4 linked regions of the Rattus norvegicus genome follow. The protein of the gene in region 4 interacts with the protein of the main gene of each other region in a pairwise test. Links are inferred from orthologs where the notes say so. Each region holds a gene or a part of one and is shown on either strand. Other genes may lie near its edges.

Region 1 (4,244 bases), on a different chromosome or scaffold from region 4:
AGAGGCTTGTGGTAGAGGGCTTGTCCGATGTGCAAGAGCCTTGGGGTTTGCTATGGGTATACCATAACCATATAATAAATGTAGATTCTCGTCTACAGCTGAGGTCCTCCACCAGGAAGCCTTCTCCTTCTTACAGGCGCTATGGAGACCCTGCCTTCTGTCCTTTTGTGTCCCCAGGGCCTCATGCAAGACTGGCCGCTTGTCAGGGATGGGGGAGGGGTTAATGTGAGGGCAGAGGTGAGTTGGGTGGGGTCCTAGTCCACCTATGTGGAGCTAAGCAGCCCCACCTCACTCCAGGTAGCCGGGGGTTAATCATCAATCCTAGGAGGGGAGAGGTCATGAGTCCCCAAGGAAGACACAGGACACCTGTGTTGCCTGGTCCTTACTGAATCTTGCCTCTCATTTTATATCTGGGGAAACTGAGGCTCAGGACACACTCCAGGGTTTCAGCCTTGTCCAGTAAATAGGTGGGGACAGAAGGGCCACAAGAGTCTGATCGTGGAGCTTGGAGCACAGATTTGATTAGACTAAATAGGTAGAAAGTCCAGACACCTTCCTCCTTCCACTTCATAATGCCAAGATTAGAGACACATTACCTCTTCTGGCCCTTTTCCACGGGTGCTGGAGAGCCAAACTTGGGTTCTCCCACATGCCATCTCCCCAGTCTCTCCTCAGTCCCTCTGTGACCCCAGAACTCAGCATGGCTTCCCACTCCCCGCCAATCCCTTCCCCAACCTCCCACCGGCTCCCACCTCCTATAGCAGGGGCACACAGAGGGCTGGGAGAAGGCAGGGGACACTCTATCTTGTTTGAGGTTAAAGGTCTCAGGACTTGGTGGGTGGTAGGTGTCTGGTAAATATTTATTTATTGAGCGCCTGAAGAAGTGAACAGCCGTTGCTCTGAACAGTAGATAACAGCCAGGCTTCCTCCGCTGGCTGTGAAATGACAGGGATGAGAACATGACGTGAGAGTCCCTCTTCCCTATCCAGACTGGAAGACAGGACAGCCGCTGGTTCAGCGGCTTCCTTCCTTCCTTCCTTCCTTCCTTCCTTCCTTCCTTCCTTCCTTCCTTCCTTCTTTCCTTCCTTCCCTTCTTTTTTCAACAGGGTCTCTCTATGTAGCCCCAACTGTCCTGGAACTTTCTGTTATCTACCAGCTTGGTCTTGAACTCACCGAGATCCATTTGCCTCTATCTCCCAAGTACTGGCATTAAAGACGTGTGCTACCGTGCCTGGCCTGCCTCTTTGTTTTCTTGTCTCAAACATAAGCTGACTCCAGTGTGGACCAGGGCAAGTGGCCTGACCCAGCAACAGCTCTGAACCCAAAGTCAGACCTGGGGTGCCTGTGTTACGAAGGGGTCCGAGATGAGGGGTTCACCTACCTCTTGCTGGCCAGTCCCATGGATGTATGCTTCCTGAACCTCCATTTCTCCACCTACCATATGAGCACGGGTCATTCATGAGCCGTGAGCTGCATGAGGAAGGCAGAGAGGGTTGCATATCCCCACGAGTTCATCTTGATCACTTTTTGTTGTGAGTCCTCACCAGGACCCCAGAATCAAGAGCTGTCCCTTTAACAAGGAGGAGGGGCCAGGGCCTGATAGCGGAAGCTGATCTGGTAGCCTGTGAGTTCAGATTGATCCTGGCTGGGCTGTGCTGGTCTTGGACTGTCTTTCGGGGAAGGTAAGGGAGGCATTGTGGGAGTGGCTGGGGACCGTGGGACAGTGTGTTGGGCAGTGAGTGGGCGTGAGTGTGGTTACTAGCCTGGTGGCCCTGATTACTATCTTGGCAAGCCCTGTGGACCCTGAGAGTAGAGAGCAGATTGTGTTGGCTGGAGAGGCTGTCAGTTAGTTTGGCTTTCTAACCCTTTTCTTGATTTAGCTGCTGTAGGCCACTAAATGGCCCACAGGGAAAGGATCCCAGGATGGTCAGGTTCAGAGTGAGGGCAGGACCAGATGAGCACTGCTTACCAGTGAGTTCTAGCAAGAAAGTCACAGGGCTTCAGCTATTCAAGCCCTTTTACGTGGTTGCTGCAGAGCTGAACTTGGGCTCTCCCTGCTCAGCTCCCGCACCTGCTTCAGTGGTGAGAGGTGGGGTCCCAGGGTCTTGGGCTCAGCTGGGTCATCACCCTGTGACAGTGGTGAAGTGGCTGTCCTCAGGAGGAGCAGAGAGGCCTGGGGACAGAGCCAAGCATGTTAGCACTTTTTCTTTGCTGCTTTTGTTTGCTCGGGACAGGGCTTCTCTGTGCGGCCCTGGCTGTCCTGGAACTCACTCTATAGACCAGGCTGGCCTCAAACTCACAGGGAACCACTGGGATTGAAGGTGTGTGCCACCACCACCACCTGGCGAGTTTCCGTTCTTACGGATAATTGTCAGTGAAGTACCAAATGGCCTCATTTTGAATGGATGAATGAATGAATGAATGAATGAATGAATGAAGGTTATGATGGTGATGCTGATGGTGATGATGATATCAACAGTTCAGTAGCTAAGACGACACATGGTGTGGAAGCCCACACCTGCGTTTTGAACTCTGAACCTGTGGCCTCGTGCACCAACCCCCCTGGATGAGTAGTTACAGAACGAAGTTAAATACAGGCCTCTGTCAGGGTTTCTCAGTGCCTTCTGAGATAAGAAGGAAGGAGCTGGGCATGGTGCCCAGCTCCCAGCAAGTCCCACACAACAGTTAGCCCTTATCAAGTAATGCAGGGAACATTGGACACCTCCACTTCACGGTTGAACTCATCATCTCAAGGACCCTGTGCTGTCCAGGGCTGTCTGGTGTGTGGCGAGTTTCATAATTAGCTCATTCTTCTCTCTCTGGTCCAAGAGGCCTTTCCTGACTCCATACCCAAAAGGTTTTAAGAAAAGATCTATTTATTTATTTAATGTATGTGAGCACACTGTGGGTTCCTTCAAAAACAACAGACGAGGGCATCGGATCCCATCACAGATGGTTGTGAGCCACCATGTGGTTGCTGGGACTTGAACTCAGGACCTCTGGAAGAGCAGTCAGTGCTCTTAACCACCGAGCCATCTCTCCAGCCCCAAAGGGGACTCTTCTATTCACCCCTAACACTCACAGTTTCCTACTATTTTGTTGGTCTGTAGACATCATCAAACCACAAGTCAGCTCAGAGGTAGGTATTTGTCTCCCCACTAAGCCATTCCTGGGTCCCAATCCCCAGCCTGGACCTTGACCATGCTCTCTAGATGCACACAGTAGGGTGTGCCATCTGCACTGGGAGAGGGTTCCCATGAGAGAACTTCTCTGGAGAACTCAGTCGGGAGCATGCCAGTAGGCGCCATCAATTTGTCTGCACCACAGTCTGTGAGTTGGGGTATGTATTTGTTCCCATTTTACAGATGAGGGAACGGGCGCGGAGTGGTTGAGGCACACACTTGGGTCACATGACCCTTTTTTACTCTGGTCTCTGCTTAACCCCCAAAACTACAATCTAGGATTGCAAGCCTGAGATGAGAGCCAGGTCAGGCTATGAAAGGTGTCTTAGGGTTTCTATTGCTATAATAAACACCATGAGCAAAAGCAACTTGGGAAGGAAAGGGTCTGTCTGGCTTACACTTCCACATCACTGTTCATCACTGAAGGAAGTCAGGGCAGGACTCAATCAGGGCAGGAACCTGGAGGCAGGAGCTGATGCAGAGGCCATGGAGGGGTGCTGCTTACTGGCTTGCTCCCCATGGCTTGCCCAGCCTGCTTTCTTATAGAACCCAGGACTCTGGGGTTGGAGAGATGGCTCAGCAGTTAAGAGCATTGACTTTTCTTCCAGAATTCAATTCCCAGCAACCACATGGTGGCTCGCAACTGTCTGTAATGGGATCTGATGCTCTCTTGTGGTGTCTGAAGGCAGCTACAGTGTACACACACACACACACACACACACACACACACACACACACACACACACACACACCTTTAATAGAAATAGAGCCCAGGACCACTAGCCTAGGGATGGAATTGCCAACAGTGGGCTGGACCATCGCACATCAATCACCTATGAAGAAAATACACCAAGGGCTTTCTTTCCCACAGTCCAGTCTTTTAGGGTGAGCTTCTCAGTCCCTCTTCAAAAATGGCTCTAGCTTGTGTCAAGTGACATAAAACTAGCCAGTACAGGAATCTGGAGACCGGGTACAGCTCATAGGCCCCTTACCCTGTGAGAAGTGCTGAAGGAGATGGGCCTGTGTTGTCTTTGCCTTGTCTGGGGAGTTCCAGGGTCATCC
Region 2 (4,242 bases), on a different chromosome or scaffold from region 4:
TAGGAGCTGTGTGACACTGAGCAAACTGGTGAGCCTTTTAGCTATTATTAACTATTACTGATATTACTTATAATAGCAGTAACCAAGAGTAGTTTGGGAAGTAATAATGCTTGCGTGGTTTTGGGCAAGTCTCCTCTCTCTGGGCAAGACTGGACACCTAGATAGGTTACCCTTCCCTAGCTTCCTTCCTTCCTTTATTCTTCAGGAGGGAGCAGGAAGACTTCCTGGAAGAGGCAAGCTGCCCCACAGGTACCTTGGACCGATACCACTCTTCTGTTTCTTGCATGTTACTGGTGGCCACTGCCTCGTACTGAGTGCGAATCTCTCTCAGAGCCGCTGTGAGGTCTGGCTTGGCCACATCCATCTCCACGTGGACCTGCTGCTGGGCCAGCTGCTCCTGGAGTTCTCGAACTTCCTAATAAGGTAAAAGAAGGGGTATTGAGGCTCAAGCCTCAGGCCTAGGCTGCACTCTCCCAGACTCACGCCTCTGTCTGCCATTTATAGCAATGGCTCACGGAAATGAGGCAGATGTTACTGGAGGAAGTGCATGTTCCAGGCCAGCCAAGGCTACACAGTGATATCCTGTCAAAAAGTAAAAGTAAAGCGTCTAATGGGCATGGAATGAGAATTTGAGGGTGCCTTCCTCTCAGGACTGCATAGTCAGGAACCAGGCATGAATGAATATGTCTTGCAGCCAGGCTCTGAGGTCAGAGAATAGATGTGCGTGCGTGCGTGGCTGGTCTCAGTTTTTCTGTGTGGCTGAAATTGGCCTTGAACAGTTCAAACGTTCCACGTCTACCACTCACAGGCTGAGATGCATACCACTGTGACAGGTCCTCAGAGGGGTTCTCAGCTGTGTGACTTTGGGGGTGTGTTTTAACCTCTCTGGGCCTCAAGGTCCCCACAGTTGTGAAGGAGGTAGTGATAAGGCTCGCAGAGCTGATGTGAAGGAGAAACTCAAGACTCGGTTCTGTGCTTCTCAGAACATGGCGGCGGAAGGCCTGCGTGTGTTTTCACGGGTAGTAAATACTGGACACATCTCCCTTAGTCTCTGTCTTCACTCTTTCTCTCGTTTTTGTTTTCTTCCTGAAATTTGGTTTCTCCGTTTCCCTCTGTGAGCGTCTCTGTCTATCACCTGCAGTTTCTCGTAAGGCCCCTCCCTCCCCCTCCCTGGCCTCACCTCCTCATGGATCTTCCTCAAGAACTGGATCTCCTCCTCCAGCGACTCAACCTTCCTCTCCAGATCCACACGAGCCAAGGTGGCTTCATCCGCCTCCTGGAGCAGGGAGAGAATCTCTTTGACCCCAGGGTCCTAGCTACTAAAATTTCCAACTTTGTCTTCCCCCTCCTTGTGGGGATCTTGGAAGCAGACAACTGCGGTGTTTGGTGGGCGGCCCTCCGCCTCCCCTCCCCCACCCTCCCTCTCATCTCTCTGACCTGTCTGTACACAGCCAGGTTGTTCTCCGCCTCCAGCCTCAGGTTGGTTTCATCTTGGAGCCTGGGACAGGGAACACAGTACAGGCTTTAGGTTTTCCTGAGGACTCTTGGATCCCTATCCGAACCTCCAGAGGGAGGGGACTGTCACAAACGGATCCCACAGGATCGGTAGAATGGCAGGAAGAGTAAGCAACGGCAGGTTCCTACACAGAGGCCTTGGCTGAGCGTGAACAGATAAGAGCTTCCTCCTTAACTCATTACTGAGGTGCCTTATCGGGGTTGGTGCACCTGCTCTTGTTCCCAGAGACGCATCCACCACCGTGCGCCCACTGTCACTGACACCAGTGCCCCTCCCGCACCAGAGGGACACGTGAATACCCACCACCCAGCAAAGCACCACGCCCCAGAGTTTGACCTCGGTTACCATCTTTTAGGACAGATTGTATCATGACCTCTCCTTTACAGCTACAACCAATCAAAATGACTTGAGCAGGGTCAAAAGCAGGTCGTAGACAGCCATCTGGGCCCGGCATCCAGGCCTGCCTGCTCTTTCTTGCATTTCTTATATTTCAGAGACCAAGAGCCTCCTTGTGGACGCAAACCTCTCTGGCCATTCATAGTGCCCAGTGACTGAAGCACCTGCCTGCTTGTACCCTGGCTACCCACACACAGCCTCCCTCAGCTTGGTGGAAGTACCCAGAATGCTCAGCTCTCTCTGGGAATCTGATCCCTGAAGTTTTCAGTCTCTTCCTGGCTATTCTGATCATATTAGGGAACAAAGACAGCTCTCCCTTTTGAAACACAGCAGCCAAGAGGCTCTCCTTAGGGGGAGGCAGTACCCTTCCTTCCAGGCTCCTCTCTCAATTCAGTCTCTCTGCTCACTAGCCATTTTTCCTATTCCCCTTCTCACTTCTGCCTCAGGGTGCCGAGGTCCTGTGTGAGATTGTCCCTCTCCACCTCCAGCCGGGCACTGTTGGTAGTAAGCTGGTCCAGACGCAGCCGCAGCTCCCGAAGTTCTGCCTGGTAAACGTCAGCCAGTTTGGTGGGCTCCTTGGCTCGAAGCTGGTTCAGCTCAGCTGCCAGCGCCTTGTTTTGCTGTTCCAGGAAGCGGACCTTCTCGATGTAGCTAGCAAAGCGGTCATTGAGCTCCATCATCTCCGCACGCTCGCTGGCCCGAGTCTCTTTGAAGCCGGCATTGAGCGCCCCGGCCAGGGAGAAGTCTACCCTGGCAGGGAGTGGAGGCGTCATTCGAGACAGGGAGAGGCGCGGAATGGTACCCAGGTGTCTGGTAGGACCATGGCCCCTGACCATCGTCTCGGAGGAGGCATAGGAGCGGCGTGCAGAGGTGATACGTCTCCGCTCCATCTTGCCCTGCTTCTGCTGGCTCCTGGGATGTCAGGGCCTTTATTGAGGGACGGGCTGGACTGGATCTGCCCCTGACTTCCTGGCAGCACCCCATTGAATAGCCTGAGGGGGTGGAGCTGGGCCCCAGCCCAGCTATGGAGAGAACTCTTCTCACCCCACCAAGGTCACTGTACCCAGAGTCAAGGGTTTCCTGGGAACACCAGCCTGGCTTCACCATTGATCAAGGAAACCCCATTTCTGGTAAATGGGTCAAGAGAGGGCCGAGGAAACAGCTTAGTCCATAAATCGCTTGCCTGTCAAGCATGGAGACCCAAGTTCTAGCCACAGAGCGAATACAAAAGGCCTGGTTTGGAAAAAAAAAAAAAAAGGCCTGGTTTGACAGTGCATACTTGTAACTGCAGTGCTGAGGAATGAAAATAAGTAGGCTTCCTGGGTCACACTAATTGGCAAATCTCAGGTCCCAGGGGGAAATGTTATCTCAGACAACCAAGTCAACAGTGTCTGAGGTTGACCTCTGGCCTCAACACATGTATGTACACACACATGAACATTTGTGTGGTAAACACACACGTGTGTGAGCACACACACACACACACAGAGAGACAGAGACAGAGAGAGACAGACAGAGACAGAGAGAGGGACAGCATGCACACAGCTGGGTTGGGTAAACTGCCTCCAGTTCTTAGAGCCTGTAAGCCAGGGCTGCCCCAACTCTGAACTTCTCTGTGGGCCTGTGAGATGCTAGGATCTTGAAGAACCTATTCCCTTCCTCCGGGATCAGCCTAAATTACACTCTCCTGGGACCCCCATTCTCAACAGATGTGCAGAGCCCTCTCCTCTGAACCCCTCCAGTACTATCTTCTCATTCCTGGAGTTCAGGAGTTGGGGGCTGGGGTTTCAAGCCCCCTTTGTGACTCCAGAATCAATTTGAGCCTCTGGCTGTGTGTTTAGGGGGCAGGACAGAAGGAATGCACGTAGGTCCTGATAGGGTAAGACAGCTGGCTTCATTTGTGAGCCCCCCCGTTCTCTCAGGAGACTTACCTCCTTTGAATTTTCATACACCAGGTCTCTGGGGGATATGTAGGTCCGGGAAACCAACCTCCACCTTCATCGTTGGTGGGGAGGAGGCTGTTGATGTTTGAGATCTCAGGCCCATCTATCCCCTCCACTCAGTTCCCCCCCAGGCGCCATCTGTACCCTTGGGCTTCTGGAAAACAGACAGCTCTGCTCCCCTCCAGCCCCCAACGCCTGCCTTCCTCTGCCCATGCTTGGACTTCTGGTGTCTACTCCAGGGTATTTGCTGAATAGAGCCTTGTTCTCTGCCGCCAGTGAGGCATACGGCAAGGGTAGCCCCATGGGCTGCTTTCATCCCTGGCTGCCAGGATGTCAGCCCTTGGTGCAGTACAAGCTCCCAGCTCAATGGACTTCTCGGAAAGCATT
Region 3 (4,264 bases), on a different chromosome or scaffold from region 4:
CCCACAGCAGCTCCTGGCCCAGGACATTCTGGTGACTGAAGGCCCCTCCCAAGTCAGAAACTACTTACCACCAACTAGACCAGACAGCCTATAGCTCACAGGAGCTGGGATAACTTAAGACATGCATTCTCACAGAGAGCCATGAGAAGGGAAGCCATCCCAGGCTCTCATCTGTTATATTTCTCCCTGGACCTCCATGATGAGCTGACTCTATCAGCCAGTGAATCTGGTCCAGTGATGCTGCTCTCCAGGACAGGCAGAGTCCTGAAGCCCAGGGGCCACCCACCTGCACCAGGAGCAATCCTTCACGTCGAACCGCAGGAGATCATTGAGCATCGTCTTCCTGAAAGGCAGTCAGAGAGAGAGAGCTGCAGCAGCCAGGATATTGCAAGGTGTTACCTCACCAGGATCTTTAAGATGGGAGAGGGCATCCACTTAGGATTGGAGGCAGCAAGAAGGACCTGACTCACTGACCTGTCAGACAACTTGTCAATGTCCACAGCTCAAAGTTAGTGACTAGGTAGGGGCAACTAGGGCTCTCACACAGACAAGGCCAGCCTGATCGCACCACCAGCACCCCACTCAAGGGCCCAGAGCTGGAGTCCTCATTCGCAGCTCGCCCAGCCCCGAGAAGTCCTATCCTGCACTGAACCCTTCCTTCCAAGGCTGCCCTACAATGACAACATTCTGTCTCAAACAATGGTGGAGACCTGCATGCTTTTCCCTCGGCTGCCATCTGACATAACAACTGTATCAAAAGTAATTCCACTGCTCACTGGGCCAGCTTGCATTTAATATGCAAGTTGGGCATATTACCAACTTGTTAATGTGGAAGAAAGGAGAACCAACAGGAGCTGAGGCACTCCCTCCAGGGCCAGGCTTTTGCAGGGTATCTCTTTGGTGTTGACCCCAAAACCTAACAGTTTCCCCTAAAACCAGGAGACTACAGTCTGTCTGAGTCAGTTTGATAAGGAAGCCCCCACTGATGTAACCCTGAAGGATTTAAGTTAACTGACCAGGCCCCATCTCCACTGCCAGGTTTCCTTGCTCTTAGCTTCTAATACCAAAGTTGCTACTCATCTTTCCATTCTTAATGGAGGACACCCTGATTTATCCTAAGTCACAGGCAAACAGATGTGTAACTGACTTTCTCTACCTTTTCTTTTGAAACTGCATACTGAAAGAAAGCATTTCTGCTTATTACCAACCAGTTGTCTACCAGCTCCAGAAGAAGCTGAGGACAGTGGTCCTGACATCCTCACTACCCTATGCTAGACACCAGTCTTTTTTGGTGTATGAATTCTTACTAAGGCTCGTCCTTTTCTTTTACTCCGTAAATGGGTACATCTGGACACTGATGTAGGGAACTGAGTATGAAAACAGATCACAGCCAACACCAGGGGCAAGTGGCACAGGAAGAGGTAAGAGGACACAAGGCCTCATCCGTGAGGACATTAGAAGGGAGACGGAAGTGTACAAGGGCTGGGTAGCGAGGGTTGGGGACAATCCAAATACAAGGCCACCAGAGAGACAGGACAGCACTAACAAGGAGGCCACCCCTCCTATTAGGACTGGTCTTTACACAGAGAAGATGGGGACATTACAGGGCTGTGAACTGAGGAGCACGCTCTGACATGCAGTTGTACATGAATCCCCAACTGCTCTTGGAGAGAGACTGCGGATGTGAGCCAAGTTTGCATGTCCTAATAGAGAGAGTCCTGAAACCTCACTGCCTCTAGGTCAGCCGCCTCATGTAATCTACAGGACCAAGGCTGTAGTGCCAGGTTCTAGGCCCAAGAGGAAGGAAAGAAAAAAGTGACAGGCAGGGATAGCAACAAGAGCACACGTGTTTCTTCCAAAGCTATATCTCCTCACTAAAACAAGGGCATTTATTCCCACGTACTGAGCACGTGCTGCCATTTGAGTGATGGGTGAAAGGGCTTTAAGGGTAGGATCTTCCTCACCATAACATGGGAATCAGGTACAAAGCACCACACACATGGGGAAACAGAGGCTCACAAGGCAGGGCTACTAACTCCCATTCTCAGACAACAGGTCTGTCTCTCTGTCATCATCCCCTGCCACCATCAAAACAGGCAAACTTACCCATTATCTCCGCCAAACACATAGATGGCATCCTTATACGCCACGACTGTGTGTTTGCTGCGCCTAGAAAAAGATAAAAGGGGTGAAGAGTGGTGAGACTAGGACTCTTCTGGCTGGCACCCAAGAAATGAGACTACACATCTCTGCTGCCACCTAAGTTTGGATAAAGCCTCCCAACCGCTAAGATCTATAGAGATCCTTCAGTTTCTTCAGACAGCAAGGACGCCTGACACACCGGAGACTTCCCACTCATACCTCACAGCTCAGGGACCCAAACAGGATCCTCAGAAACACAGGTCTGGTACCCTACCTAGGGTCACTATGGTGTTACTCCCTGGGAACCCAGCCTTGGAATGACCAATCCATACTCCAAGACATCACAAGGGATCTCTCCCCTAGAGCCCGTCCTAAAACTTCAGCTCTCGTCCCTACTACCAGTGCCTTCAGGATCCCCTGTACACTGCATACCGAGCGCCTACGAATTCGTCGCAGGGCGGGAGGCGCCGCCAGCGATGCACAGTTTCGAAGGGTCCAAAGTTGAGCGTCAGGTACTCGACACTGTCTGAGCAGCTGTGGTCAAAGTCCACGCTCGGAGCCACCTTGGAGCTCACCCCTCCTGTCAAGGCCCCGGGCCCAGTGGGGCCTCCGGAGCCTGCCATCCCTGGTTCAGGCCGAATAGGCCACCAGGTTGCAGGACTCACGGCCACCGCCCGGGCCAAGTCAAAGGACCACACTTCCCAGAGGGCCCTGCGCCCCTGGTGTAGCACTTCCGGCCAGCTTGTCCGCCCTCCCGACAAACCTAGCGCTCCCCGCGACGCGGCGGGTTGTCGAGGAACCTGGTAGCCAGGCTCCTCGCATTATCATGTATCGATACGTCACATTCTGGAAAGCATTTTTGGCCAAGTCTCGGCTTGGGTTTCCCCTTTCAGGAAACGCAGTCTGGCTATAGTCAGCCACTAACATTCTCTAGGCAGCGGCGAGCTACACGCTCCCGGCATGCCTTGTAGTCGGGCTTTGCCATCTCCCGGAAGCCCCCCCACCCCGCCCTCCTCCAGGATGAGGTTTCCGACTTGCAGGCGAGCGGCTCAACTGTCCAACACCTTCTGCTTATGTCCCCCAACCGCCCTCCCTCTGTCCCCCTCTCCCTCCGTCCTCTCTGCGATGGGCTTTGAACCCCAGGACTTGATGGGCATGCACTCTGCCACTAGGCTACAGCACAATCGGTGGTTTTTTTAAGTTGTAGTCTATTGCCAGCTGAGTCGCCTGTGAAATGATGATTCAGGAAGTTCAGGCAAAAGGAACACATGTAGTCGTGAAATGGATATAAAGTTAATTAGTTAATTGGTCTAGTTTTAACTTTTTTTGTAAGAGCTTATAAAAAAGAGCTTATAAAAGCCAATGGCTGTCCTGACTACAAAAAAGTTGATATATAGAGTGGGACTGGATAGGTTTTTGGGTGACTACTGTAATCCAACAGAGTATATTTGTGAGTTTATAACAATGAAGTGATTTTCGATTTTTGTTTTTTCCAGACAGGGTTTCTTTGTGTAGCTCTGGCTGTCCTGGAACTAGCTCTGTAGACCAGGCTGGCCTTGAATTCGGAGATCTGCCTGCCTCTGCCTCCCAGGGGCTGAGATTAAAGGCATGTGCCACCACCTCCTGGCTGTGATTAATAATAATTATTATTATTATCACTATTATTATACCAGCTTAGCTTGCTGTGGGCAGTATGGAGTCTGCAGGACCCAGCTCCTGTCTCCCTTAAGTGGACAAATACAAAAGCTGCCTCTGGCTTCTGAAGCTTTTTAAAAACAAAAGATTTCATGTAGTCCAGGATGGCCTGAAACTTCTGACCTTCCTACCTCTGCCTGAGTGCTGCTATTACAGATGTGTCACATCATGCCTAGCTGTTAAGTGTTGGCCCAATTATACTGGGACACAGATCTGCTGATATATGTGTTTTAATTTTAAGGTAATGTTGAAGGGGCTTGCTGGGAAAACAGTCCTAACAGAGGAAGCAGAGACAGAGCCTGTCCTGCCTCTAAAACCAGCTGTCAGTGACAGCTGAGGCCTTCGGAACGGATCATCTTCTGGAGGCAGTAGTAGCCTCTCTGGAGGTGAGGCAGACAGTTGAAGGCAAGCCTTGGAAGACTCAGAT
Region 4 (3,510 bases):
CTTATCTATGCATTGAAATAATGTGATTTTTCCATTTATAAATGTTTTAAATTAAGGAGGAGAAGCTGATTATAACTAGCTTATTAATCTTAATAAAAGCCTAACAAGACTAAATAATGAGAAAAACTGGGGCTGGTGAGATGGCTCAGTGATGAAAAATCTTGCTAAGCAAGCATAAGGACCTGAGTTCAGATCTCCAGCATGTATGTAAAAGCTGAGTGCAGTGGCTCATGTCCAGAACCCAATGTTGGGAGACAGCAAGACAGGGAGATGCTGGTGCTCACTGGCCAGCCAGGCTAGCCAAAAGAAGGTATCTGAAACTATTCTCAGGTGGGTGTGCATGGACACACACACACACACACACACACACACACACACACACACACACACACACACTAACACACACACACTCTTTGTAACATAAGTATACATACCACACTCTTCCTTCCTTCCTTCCTTCCTCCCTCCCTCCCTCCCTCCCTCCCTCTCTCTTTCTTTCTTCCTTATTTATTTATTTATTTATTTATTTATTTATTTATTTATTTATTTTAGACAGGGTTTCTTTGTGTAGCTCTGGCCATTTGCCTTGTAGACCAAACTGGCCTCAAACTCAGAGATCCACTTGCCTCTGCCTCTCCAATGCTACCACTGACAGGCCATAAAATAAATTTTAAAAGACAGAATTTAAGTAAACAAAACATAATATAGACAAACAAGTATTTTAAAAAATTAAATCGGGGCTGGGGATTTAGCTCAGTGGTAGAGTGCTTGCCTGGGAAGCGCAAGGCCCTGGGTTCGGTCCCCAGCTCCGAAAAAAAAGAACCAAAAAAAAAAAAAAAAAAAAACTGAAATAGTCAAGTTCCACAGTCACAGAATTATCAAAATTGTTACAAGAAGAAATTTTATGGTAATTTCATTTTAAAACATACTCAACCAGTAAAGTTTTTCTTCCTGAGAAAGTCTAGCTTAGATCACTTCTCATTAAGTTCAAACTTTCAGTAGCCAATTACTGATATAGACTGTTTTTACAAATAATAAGGAAAGAACAAAAGCAGCTACCTAGCCCATTTTATAAGGCTTATGTAAAAACTACCCAGGAATAAGACAGAGAAGACAGACAATCGTCTTTCTTAACTAATGCACACAGATGTAAAAACTTTATGAAAGAGAAATGGATTCAAGGCAAGGATGCTCTCTTTCACTAACACAAGGGGCAACTGGTAAAACTGACATCACTTAGGATAAAAAAATCGGTTAACTAGGAAGAGAATACTTTGTTAAACTTCCTTCTAGAAGCCTACAGTAAATATCATAGTAATGCATGAACTCTGCATCTCTAAGAGTCAGGAAATCAGAAATGTCCAATATTACCTCTATTGTTTGACACAATTTATGCAAACAAAGCCCACTTGTCTACTGTTTCAATAAAGAGCCTAGAACAATGTATGTTTACACACTGGGAGAAATGTTGTAAAACATTATTTTCAGGGGCGGTCATCTTTAGTACATAAAAAAAGTATCAAGTCCCAGAACTAAGTTAGGTAACCAGGGACTCAACTCAAGAGGTGGTTCAGATGTAAGAGCACTGGGGTTGGGGGTTTAGCTCAGTGGTAGAGCACTTGCCTAGCAAGCGCAAGGCCCTGGGTTCGGTCCCCAGCTCCGAAAAAAAAAACCAAAAAAAAACCCAAACAAACAAACAAACAAACAAAAACAGATGTAAGAGCCCCAACTGCTCTTCCAGAGGTCCTGAGTTCAATTCCCAGCAACCACATGGTGACTCACAACCATCTGTAATGAATCTGATGACTCTTCTGGTGTGTCTGAAGACAGCTACAGTGTGCTTATATACATAAAATAAACATATAAATTAAAAGTTAGTTACGCAGAGTTAAGTGGAATGTGTAAGATTAGCCAGCAATAAATTAGCAATACTATGTCTCCATGTAAATAATAAACAACTGAAGATACAAGCGTTTTTCTCTTATATTATCCAAAATTTTAAAACCTTATTGTCAAAGTAGTGACTATTACATAGAAAAACAAAAATCATAAGCTTACACCTTGAAGTTCACAACGGACATGGCAATCACCATAAGCACCCTCAAGTCAAGAAATACTAGTACCCAGAATCCTACTCCTCCCTTCCCACTTGTCTCAAGGGCCAGGACCACCATCCTGTGCTTGCTTTCCTTCTAAGATTACTGTGTGCTAGAGAAATACATGGTTGATACTAAAACACACACAGGCACAGGCAGATACACACACAAAACTTCTTAGCACCCAAATTCATGAGTGTTAGGAATTAAACTGAGACTTCCCCTTTAATCAACTAATTAAAACACACCAGTGGAAGGGCTAGTTCCATTTCTACCTGAAAAGTAGATGTACTTTTACTTATTTATTTTCTGTGCGTGAGGGTGTCTGCCTTGTGCCTTTGGAACTCAGAAGAGGGCACTGGATCCCCTGAAGCGGGTTACAAATGGTTGAAAGCCACTATGTGGGTCCTGGGAATTGAACCTAAGTCTTAACCACCGAGCACCTCTCCAGCCCCATCCATCTTTCTGTCCTGTCCCTGTCTCTCCTTCGTGCCCTTTAGTGCTCTACAAACTCATCTCTTCTGGAAGAATATGAGACAGAAGACAGACCTCAGCCACAGTGCTACGAATCCCATCTACCACCTGCTCAAAGTCCACCAGGCTGAAGAGTGGCTGCTGCTTGAGCCGGTGCAGCTCGGCAGCAAAAGTGTCCTCCTGGTTTTTCAAGATGGACCCTGTGGAGTATGACGACACGATCATCAGACAGGAGTCAGGGTAGTCAGGGTAGTCAGGGTAGACAGGGTAGTCAGGGTAGAAAGGGTAGACAGGTTAGTCAGGGTAGACAGGGTAGACAGGGTAGTCAGGGTAGACAGGGTAGTCAGGGTAGACAGGAGTCAGGATAGTCAGGGTAGACAGGGTAGTCAGGGTAGACAGGAGTCAGGATAGTCAGGGTAGACAGGGTAGACAGGGTAGTCAGGGTAGTCAGGGTAGACAGGAGTCAGAATAGTCAGGGTAGACAGGGTAGTCAGGGTAGACAGGGTAGTCAGGGTAGACAGGGTAGACAGGGTAGACAGAGTAGTCAGGGTAGACAGGGTAGTCAGGGTAGTCAGGGTAGACAGGGTAGTCAGGGTAGACAGGAGTCAGGATAGTCAGGGTAGACAGGGTAGACAGGGTAGTCAGGGTAGTCAGGGTAGACAGGAGTCAGAATAGTCAGGGTAGACAGGGTAGTCAGGGTAGACAGGGTAGTCAGGGTAGACAGGGTAGACAGAGTAGTCAGGGTAGACAGGGTAGACAGGGTAGACAGGGTAGTCAGGGTAGTCAGGGTAGACAGGGTAGTCAGGGTAGTCAGGGTAGTCAGGGTAGACAGGGTAGTCAGGGTAGTCAGGGTAGTCAGGGTAGACAGGGTAGTCAGGGTAGACAGGGTAGTCAGGGTAGTCAGGGTAGTCAGGGTAGACAGGGTAGTCAGGGTAGACAG

Evidence for each region. The genes of interacting proteins can lie anywhere in the genome.
Region 1: the proteins of Tubgcp4 (region 4) and Sdsl interact in a two-hybrid assay, tested with the Homo sapiens proteins (2 studies listed by BioGRID and IntAct). The two-hybrid records come from large-scale screens. The link is inferred for Rattus norvegicus from reciprocal best matches to the Homo sapiens genes TUBGCP4 and SDSL.
Region 2: the proteins of Tubgcp4 (region 4) and Gfap interact in a two-hybrid assay, tested with the Homo sapiens proteins (2 studies listed by BioGRID and IntAct). The two-hybrid records come from large-scale screens. The link is inferred for Rattus norvegicus from reciprocal best matches to the Homo sapiens genes TUBGCP4 and GFAP.
Region 3: the proteins of Tubgcp4 (region 4) and Lztr1 interact in binary tests that used the Homo sapiens proteins (3 or more experiments, as listed by UniProt). The link is inferred for Rattus norvegicus from reciprocal best matches to the Homo sapiens genes TUBGCP4 and LZTR1.

The regions. Positions count from the first base shown.
Region 1 is NC_086030.1:41,758,811-41,763,054, forward strand, and holds the start of Sdsl (serine dehydratase-like), read left to right. Parts: upstream 1-1,441; 5' UTR 1,442-1,682; intron 1,683-4,244. UniProt on the Homo sapiens protein: Catalyzes the pyridoxal-phosphate-dependent dehydrative deamination of L-threonine and L-serine to ammonia and alpha-ketobutyrate and pyruvate, respectively. Also exhibits racemase activity towards L-glutamate and D-glutamate.
Region 2 is NC_086028.1:88,358,859-88,363,100, forward strand, and holds the start of Gfap (glial fibrillary acidic protein), read right to left. Parts: upstream 2,804-4,242; 5' UTR 2,803-2,803; coding exon 2,348-2,802; intron 1,499-2,347; coding exon 1,438-1,498; intron 1,277-1,437; coding exon 1,181-1,276; intron 416-1,180; coding exon 254-415; intron 1-253.
Region 3 is NC_086029.1:97,005,049-97,009,312, forward strand, and holds the start of Lztr1 (leucine-zipper-like transcriptional regulator 1), read right to left. Parts: upstream 2,804-4,264; 5' UTR 2,766-2,803; coding exon 2,575-2,765; intron 2,170-2,574; coding exon 2,107-2,169; intron 344-2,106; coding exon 287-343; intron 1-286. UniProt on the Homo sapiens protein: Substrate-specific adapter of a BCR (BTB-CUL3-RBX1) E3 ubiquitin-protein ligase complex that mediates ubiquitination of Ras (K-Ras/KRAS, N-Ras/NRAS and H-Ras/HRAS).
Region 4 is NC_086021.1:128,608,871-128,612,380, reverse strand, and holds part of Tubgcp4 (gamma-tubulin complex component 4), read right to left. Parts: intron 2,771-3,510; coding exon 2,646-2,770; intron 1-2,645. UniProt on the Homo sapiens protein: Component of the gamma-tubulin ring complex (gTuRC) which mediates microtubule nucleation.